Arabidopsis thaliana: one gene and its partner. The protein of the gene in region 1 interacts with the protein of each later gene in a pairwise test. Each region holds a gene or a part of one and is shown in the gene's direction. Other genes may lie near its edges.

Region 1 (4,099 bases):
AATCTCTACAAACTTATTCGCTTGATGACAAGCATAATGTTTCACATATTTTATGTATATATTAATTAATGAGTAGTTTTATTCACAAAATTATCAACTTGGGTGTGTAGCTAGGCCCCCACAATTAATGTATGATGCATCAGATTTATCTAGAATTGTCTTACTGCCCCTCCAAATCGATATCATATCAAGTTGTATTAAAAAAGAACATGCATCTCAAGATTAGTTTAATTCATTATATTTAAAGTAGTTCAACCTAAGTGACTAAATCACAATCAACCCCTAACGTAACTAAGTCTACAAATTAAACCAACAGTCAACTACATCTTTTTTTTTTTTGGGTTGTAAGTTTAAATTTACTAATCAACAAAATAAATGATTATATAAAAAAGAACTACAATTTAATATTTATGATCAGCATATTTTTTCTAATGAATTTTTAAATAGTTGAATGACCAAATTTCGATATATCTACCAACATCGTCAATTGATGATTTTTTTTATAACTAATTTTCAGTGTTTTATTTCTAACTTTTACTCTATGTTTTTACGGTAAGATTAGAAGTGTCAAGACTTGGATATTATTTTGCTTTTTATTAGAATTAGTAAATATAAGGAAAACAGAAAGCTAAATTTTTTTAAAAAAAGCTAACTCGGTATTTCTTCTTCATTTTTGTAACAGAAAAACCCCACAAAATTTGTAACTATGCAAAGTCCGAGTGGAAATATAATTTGAGCTTAGGATCATTAAATCCCTATATAGTTAATTAGTACTAAAAGGAATTATAGAAAAGAAAATGACTCAGTTAATAGGACCACTCTAGAGGAAGAATAAATAGTTTAGGTGTTAATGGAGGGATATATTTTAGAATTAGAACTGTCACATTGGGAAGTGGTTCTTCTTGCTAATGTATTTTAGAATCATTCAAAAGAAAGAAGAACTAAATAATTCTCTAAACTAAACATTTAATCAAAATTTTAGAAGACAAAAAAAGAAGAAGAAGAGAGAACAGACATCTTTGGGCACCTCGGAGAAAAATAAGCATGTGAGACTCGATGCACATCATTAAATGCTTTGAGATGACATGGAAGATTCGGTTCTCGGTATTTGCTCTTTTGTTTCTATTTTATTTTCTTACCCAAAGAAAAAAATAAAATCTTTGGAAACGGTGGGGGAGGAGACAAGAAGCAATGTTTGACTGAGTTCAGTTAAAATTTATTGAAGTCTCTTTTGTGTTGAAGAGTTGGGACAAAAAAAAAAAAAAACTTTAAAGACCTGAGGGTTTGGTTTTTGCTTAAACTTTAGTTGAATGAGTGAAAGAAATGAGTTTCTGTTTATGTCGGAATTTAATAAGTCTGTAAGATTCTGTAAGAAACAAAAAGAAGCAATCTGAAACATCAGAGCTTCGTGCTAATCCGTAGACTTGGACTCTAGCTCTTGCCGCCTCGTCTTTTCTTATTTTACAGTTTTAACTCTACCTTCGATATCAATTAGCATATCATTGATTATCACTTTCTGTCAGTAAAAACTTGTATATCGTTAGAAAAAACACTAATAAATGTAATATTTGGCGATACAAAATTAGATTGTATAGGATTTTGTTTTTCTTTTTTTCAAAAATAAACTATTTATTAGAATTTCCAACTTAGACTATATAGTTTCATAATCAAATTTACGATTACTTTTTGTTTTCCATATGAATATGATTATATATTTAAGAATGTTAAAGAAGACTAATTTTTTCATTTATTCCGGTTTGTATATAAATAGGTTACCATTAGATATGTGTTATCTTGGAGTACTCTACAAATATTTTCTTTACCAATTGAATCATTTCAATCTAAAAAAATACTGAACTAATGTCATTGGTGCTATTTATAATTTGACATATAATTTTATTTAATTGTAAAATTTAAATTCTAATCTTTCTATACAAAATTTAAACAAAAATGTAATTAATCTCGTTTAATTGTAAAATCTAAATTCAAACTCTTATTTATAAACACATAATTTATATTTAAATTTTGTTTAATTAAAAGTAAATAGATTTTGAATATTTAAACTAATATGAATATTTTTAAGATGCACATACTTTTTTTTTTTTTTTGGTAAGGTTTAAGATGCACATACTTTCTCTAGGTATCTAGTAATTTATTCCTTCAACGTCTGAATCGGCCTCAAATTTTCTGATTTGGGCTTAGTTTGGTCCAAGTGGGCTTAATCAAGCATATCATAACTGTAGTTTGGGCTCATAACGTTTTTTTTTTTTTTTTTTTTTTGCGCTGCGCAGTTTAGCTTTTGATGGTACGGCTTATTTTAACAACGAACTCGGAATAAAAAAGCTTTTGACAGAGAGAACGACCATAATTCAATTAGGGAAGTACTTTCACAAACCGGAGAAGATTATCGGAGATCGCAAACTATGGCCGGACGAGATCGTTATATTCCATCATCAGCAGTTTCAACTTCATCATCTTCAAGATTATTAGAATCTCAATTAATCGAATCCGATCGAAATCGAGCTCGATCTGTAATCCTCGAGGATCGAATCGCAATCCAACACCGTGAAATCCAATCTCTTCTCAACGACAATCAACGATTAGCTGTAGCACACATCGGACTCAAAGACCAGCTCAATGTAGCTAAGCGTGAGCTCGAACGGTTACTTGAAACCGCTGTTAAAGTTAAAGCGGAAGGAGAAGCTAAAGTGCGTGAGGTTTATCAGAATGCGTTGAGAATGGAGGCGGAGGCTCGTGTGATTGATGGACTTGGAGCTGAGCTTGGTCAGGTTAGGTCTGATGTACAGAGGTTAGGTAGTGATAGACAGGAGTTAGCTACGGAATTGGCTATGTTTGATGATGAGATGGCTAAGGCTAAACCGAATTCGGATCGAGCTATTGAGGTTAAATTGGAGATTGAGATTCTTCGAGGAGAGATTCGTAAAGGAAGGTGAAAATTTGAATTCTCTTTGTTGTTTTTGTTGGAACATTGGATTTGTTATCTTGTAGTGTATACTCATATGATGGTTTTTTGGATGCTTATGGAGTAGTAATGAATTTGTTTGAGGTTTGGGATATGAAACAGGGCTGCTCTTGAGCTGGAGAAGAAGACACGAGCTAGTAACCTTCACCATGAGCGCGGTATGGAGAAGACTATCGATCATTTGAATCGAGAGATTGTAAAACTTGAGGAAGAATTGGTTGATCTGGAGACTAAAGCTAGAGAAGCAAATGCAGCTGCTGAGGCAGCTCCAACCCCAAGTAATTTCTCTGTCTTTTTTAGCTTTTTGCTTTACACAGTTTAACTGCAAAACCACCTTATAGTTTTGATGATTTGTTGATGTAAGGTCCTGGATTGGCTGCAAGTTATGGAAACAACACCGATGATATATATGGAGGTCAAGGCCGGCAATACCCGGAGGCTAATGGTACTCATGAGGTACACATGAGTCTATAGATAAGTAGTAACTTTACGTGATCATCTGTTAGAAGTTCTCCTAATTTAGCATTATTATGGAGAAGGAGAAGATTGGACTAATTGTTTGTAATGATTGGCATACCAAGTTCTGATTGTCTTACATTCTGAACTGATATCTTAGCAAAATAGCTAGTTCTCAGGGAAAAAAGTTATGTTCATAGGTTAGTAAGTGTCCAACTTGTACAAGTATCCGTTGGTTAGTGAGAATTGTTGTAAACTCATAATTGACTGAATTCAACGCTTATGATAAGATTGCGGTTTTACTTTAACATTGTTCGATTCTAGTAGTGTTTAACATCACACAAATATACACTTCAGGCATATAGAGCATCGGATTGTCTCTCTCAAGACCCATCTACTCCATTGCAGCATCCTCTGAATAATACTCAACATTCTAGTGTGTTGTGATAGTGTCTTGCTTACGTTTGAATAGGCCAGCCATATACTTGATTTGACAATTTTTGTTTTAGTGTATCTTATTTAGCGAGTGTATTCAACCAAATAATTTATTTGATTGAAGTTCGAAGAATTTTTCTACTCTGTATTCTCAGTTCGATTTTTGAGGTTTACATTAATTTACATACCTCATCCAACTATAAACAAACAAGGACAAGAGTTTGT
Region 2 (4,099 bases), on another chromosome or scaffold:
GTTGTTAGCGTGTGCATGAACCTGGTGAGTAGTTGTGATGAGATCTCGCATTGATTTACTTCAAATTGGATTAAATATGTAAAAATATGTTTAAGAAATCTTGTGACTCCGCGAATGATTTTCTCCTATACATTATTCTAATTAATTCCATGGATATGTTTTATAATATGCGTAGGAAATTAAAGAAAATATGTTTTGTATTATATAAGTTATTTTGATCTTAATCTTTTGAAGTTGAAACCTACTTGATATGCTTCTTCTTATTTTGTTAACTAACTCAAGTTGAATGATTATTTATTGATTGAATTACGTAAGACGGGAAGAACATGATGTGCCCAACCGAACCACGAATGGTTAAGGATAGGTCGGTTTGTGGCATATCAATAAACAGTTTATGAGACTGAATGGAAACCTTCTTTCTTCGATCGACTAAAACCCTTAGCCTTCCAAGTTTCTAGTCAAGAAGTATTGTTACTAAATTGCCCTTGATGTTAATGTTTTCGAAAATCTATTTATGTTTCTACAGTGTTTCTCTCACGTGAGTTGCAGAGTCAGTTCACGTGGTCCCACTACATCATGAAAACGACGTCACACTAACCTCTTATTCGCCTTTCACTTGAATTGACCATTTCGTTTTTATTTACTTTCCTTGATTTCTTTCTTTCTTCTCATCTAAACGTGTAAAAATCTTAACAATTCCATTTGCTTTTTTGTTTTTGATTTTAATGTATCTAACCAATTACTTGTGCTCTAGAGAAACCGAATCTCGAATAACAATAATACATTTCATCAAAGAACCACGAGATTGCGAGTGATTTTAAATCAATATAATACAATTCATGGGGTTAATATAAAATACAGAGAATAAAGCGTGTTTAAGCACAACCTAACAACTCACGAGACAAAGTGGAAGGCATGTGGGGATGTGTAATTGTTTTTGCTCTTTCCCTATTTTGTACAATTTTTCACTTCATGTGATCCAACACTATTTAGCTATAGTTCCTTTCTCACTATCATCTCCATCTCTGTTTTCAATTTATTATTTCTATCTTCAGATTAAACTCATGACTACTGGAAAGATGTAGTACTCAGAAACTAACTAGATTGTAAGCATTAGGGGAGGGCAATAAATATTACTCGTAAGTAAATTTAATTCTTAACTACTGAAAATCTTAAGTAATTTAATCAAGTATATACGTACTTGCAAAAACTTGAAAGCCATAACTATTTTCGCTTGAATACAAATGGACTAAAGATATTTTATCATTTTATTTTTGGTTTTAAGAGATGACTTTTTTCGAATATATAATTCAAATTATATACAGTACTAGACATATGTTAGTTTAGTAAATGCTAACAAGACTTTTAAAATAAGTACTGTAATTTGTAAGTCGTCTATTTGGTTTACTTATAAGTTAGTGATTTTGTAACAAGTGGCATTCAACTAAATATAAAAATGCGCTTAGCTCACATGATCAGGTTCTTAACTATGGGTTTTAGACAATTTGTTAAAGGCGGAAGAGCTGTCTTTGTTCCACCTAATGTCACATACATTACATATATCTCCACTCACACAAATACATAGACGCATACACGTACGAACAAAATCATACTTGTCCCCCTATATTCCATCATCTATAGCAGAATTTCTACTACTAAATTTACTATTAAATTGGTAATTGTTTGCAGCCAAGCCTAGCTATCAATTAGTAGTACGTATCTTTGTCAAACTTACCAATTACCTTCCAATTTACCAATTAAACAAGTCGTCTAGTTATGCGCATTCAGTACACACGAACATAGACCACGTAATACAGTGGTCTGATTACATTATTTACATGGAGGTTTTTATAAGCATGATTTTCTAAACGGAGACACAAAATCTTCTTTATTTTATTTTTCCTTTTCGCACTGTTCATTTAGGTTTGGTGGTATTAGGCTATAGAAGAATGTACGATGACTTGAATATCAGATACATGAGATTCTTAATTAATCATACATATCTTACCATTTTAATTAGTTAACTGATTTCCTTTTGATTGCATTTACTTCGACGCATGATAGTAGTCGGCGTAATTTCAACAGTACCTTGACACGCCAAAAGCTTCACGTAATTTGCTGTCGAAGAAGGTACGCTTCTTAGCTCAAATCTAATCCATTCGTGTTCTTTAGAGATTTGACTTGGATTCTAGTTTTTGTATCTCCATGTTCATTGGTTGACTTGAATTATGCGAAATTGAGTTGGTTTGAGCTATGAATTCCGCTGAATTATGGTTATTCTCTTGAATTTCTACCCAATTCTGATGACAGATCTATCGATTCCACGAATTTGGTGACTTCTGCCGATTCTCCCGTTTGAATTCTGTGGAATTCGCTGAGAAAAGTTGCGGCGGAGGCTGATTTAGGTTAAATCGAGCAGAATTTGACCAAATTCGAGGATTTTTATCGGTAAAAAGATACAGAGAAAGCATAATTCAGCAACTTCAGAGCTCAATTCCGCTTCTTCAACCATCGAAAACCACAATATCTCTTGAATCAGCTGCTACAAGTCGCAGATCTGAGCTGCTAGCCAATTTTTGCGATAATTCCCGCGCACAGATTAGTAATAGAATAATTTAAAAAGAATTCAAAAACCGTCGAAGCTCTGTCGTTCATGGAGCTTCCTCAACCTCGTCCCTTCAAAACCCAAGGTAAACACCATTATCAGATATTATTGTTACCAATTCCTTTATTTTATTTTAAAACAGAGTGTTTAGTTTCTACAAGATTCATAATTTTAAATTTATGTATTTTTTTGAATTTTGATATATATATTAAGAAGAATTTCGCACAGGGAGAAAACCAACACATGATTTTTTATCGCTCTGCAGTCATTCAACCGTCCACCCAGATCCAAAGCCAACACCACCACCTTCTTCTCAAGGTATTTTTTTTTACCATTTTACCCTTTTTTCTTCTTTAAGATTCTCTTAAAAGGGGTCACGTTTTTTTCGCGCGTGCATCTGATCTGACTTTAAGACGAATCATGGATCAAAATGTTGCTATTTTGTTGGGTCCTAATGGGCCCATCTGTGTTTAAAGCCCATGGAATTTTGGGACCGTTTTTTTCTTTCTTTTTCGTCTACACATGTCGTTAAACCTTGCCTTCGATTAAATAAATATCTTTCAACCCTCATGATGTTGATCCCTAGAATTGCATCACATAAATAACAAAATGTTGTTAATTACTATAAGCGTTTAAATGCATACAACTTGATGTATAAGAAAATGTGTATTATCTAGGGATTTACTTCTCTAACATATAGTTTATGTTTTTAATTTTGATGGTACGTGAAGCAGGTAGTCACTTGAAAACCCATGATTTTCTTCAACCGTTAGAATGTGTTGGTGCTAAAGAAGACGTAAGTAGGATTAACTCTACCACTACAGCGTCCGAGAAGCCACCGCCCCCTGCTCCACCTCCACCGTTGCAGCACGTGCTTCCCGGTGGTATAGGGACTTATACGATTAGCCCCATTCCTTACTTCCATCATCATCATCAGAGAATTCCTAAGCCGGAGTTGTCACCACCAATGATGTTCAATGCTAATGAGAGAAACGTTTTGGATGAGAATTCTAACTCTAATTGCAGCTCGTACGCCGCTGCATCAAGCGGGTTCACTCTGTGGGATGAATCTGCTTCTGGGAAGAAGGGACAGACAAGGAAGGAGAATAGTGTTGGGGAGAGAGTAAACATGAGAGGTAACAAGAAAACTTGAATCGTGATGTTTATTTAGACTAGTTTTAAAGTAGTATTTAGAAATCAATGGAATGATGAAATATAAGTTTTTTTGAATGTGTAGCTGATGTTGCAGCAACTGTGGGACAATGGCCAGTGGCGGAGAGACGGTCCCAGTCTTTGACAAACAACCATATGAGCGGTTTCAGTTCTCTCTCTTCCTCTCAGTTAGTCTCATATCTTCTCTTTTTTATATAACTCGGTCTATGGACTTTAAAGAGTGATCAACTAAAGTTTTACTTTGGTTGCAGAGGGTCTGTGCTTAAGAGCCAGAGCTTCATGGACATGATAAGGTCAGCAAAAGGAAGTTCACAGGAAGAT

The links. Proteins that work in one complex are often made in the same cells at the same time.
Region 2: the proteins of AT2G30120 (region 1) and BIM1 interact in binary tests that used the Arabidopsis thaliana proteins (3 or more experiments, as listed by UniProt).

Annotation. Positions count from the first base shown.
Region 1 is NC_003071.7:12,860,187-12,864,285, reverse strand, and holds the start of AT2G30120 (protein FLC EXPRESSOR), read left to right. Parts: upstream 1-2,314; 5' UTR 2,315-2,423; coding exon 2,424-2,950; coding exon of another isoform or gene 2,951-2,954; exon of another isoform or gene 2,955-3,067; coding exon of another isoform or gene 3,068-3,080; exon of another isoform or gene 3,081-3,085; coding exon 3,086-3,261; intron 3,262-3,347; coding exon 3,348-3,439; coding exon of another isoform or gene 3,440-3,457; exon of another isoform or gene 3,458-3,607; coding exon of another isoform or gene 3,608-3,679; exon of another isoform or gene 3,680-3,796; coding exon 3,797-3,886; 3' UTR 3,887-4,099. UniProt on the Arabidopsis thaliana protein: Transactivator required for FRIGIDA-mediated activation of FLC and for the expression of the repressors of flowering AGL27/MAF1 and AGL31/MAF2. Does not alter expression of known activators of FLC expression.
Region 2 is NC_003076.8:2,608,126-2,612,224, reverse strand, and holds the start of BIM1 (basic helix-loop-helix (bHLH) DNA-binding superfamily protein), read left to right. Parts: upstream 1-1,974; 5' UTR 1,975-2,130; exon of another isoform or gene 2,131-2,310; 5' UTR 2,311-2,653; coding exon 2,654-2,690; intron 2,691-2,821; coding exon 2,822-2,923; intron 2,924-3,339; coding exon 3,340-3,741; intron 3,742-3,842; coding exon 3,843-3,945; intron 3,946-4,029; coding exon 4,030-4,099. UniProt on the Arabidopsis thaliana protein: Positive brassinosteroid-signaling protein. Transcription factor that bind specifically to the DNA sequence 5'-CANNTG-3'(E box). Can bind individually to the promoter as a homodimer or synergistically as a heterodimer with BZR2/BES1.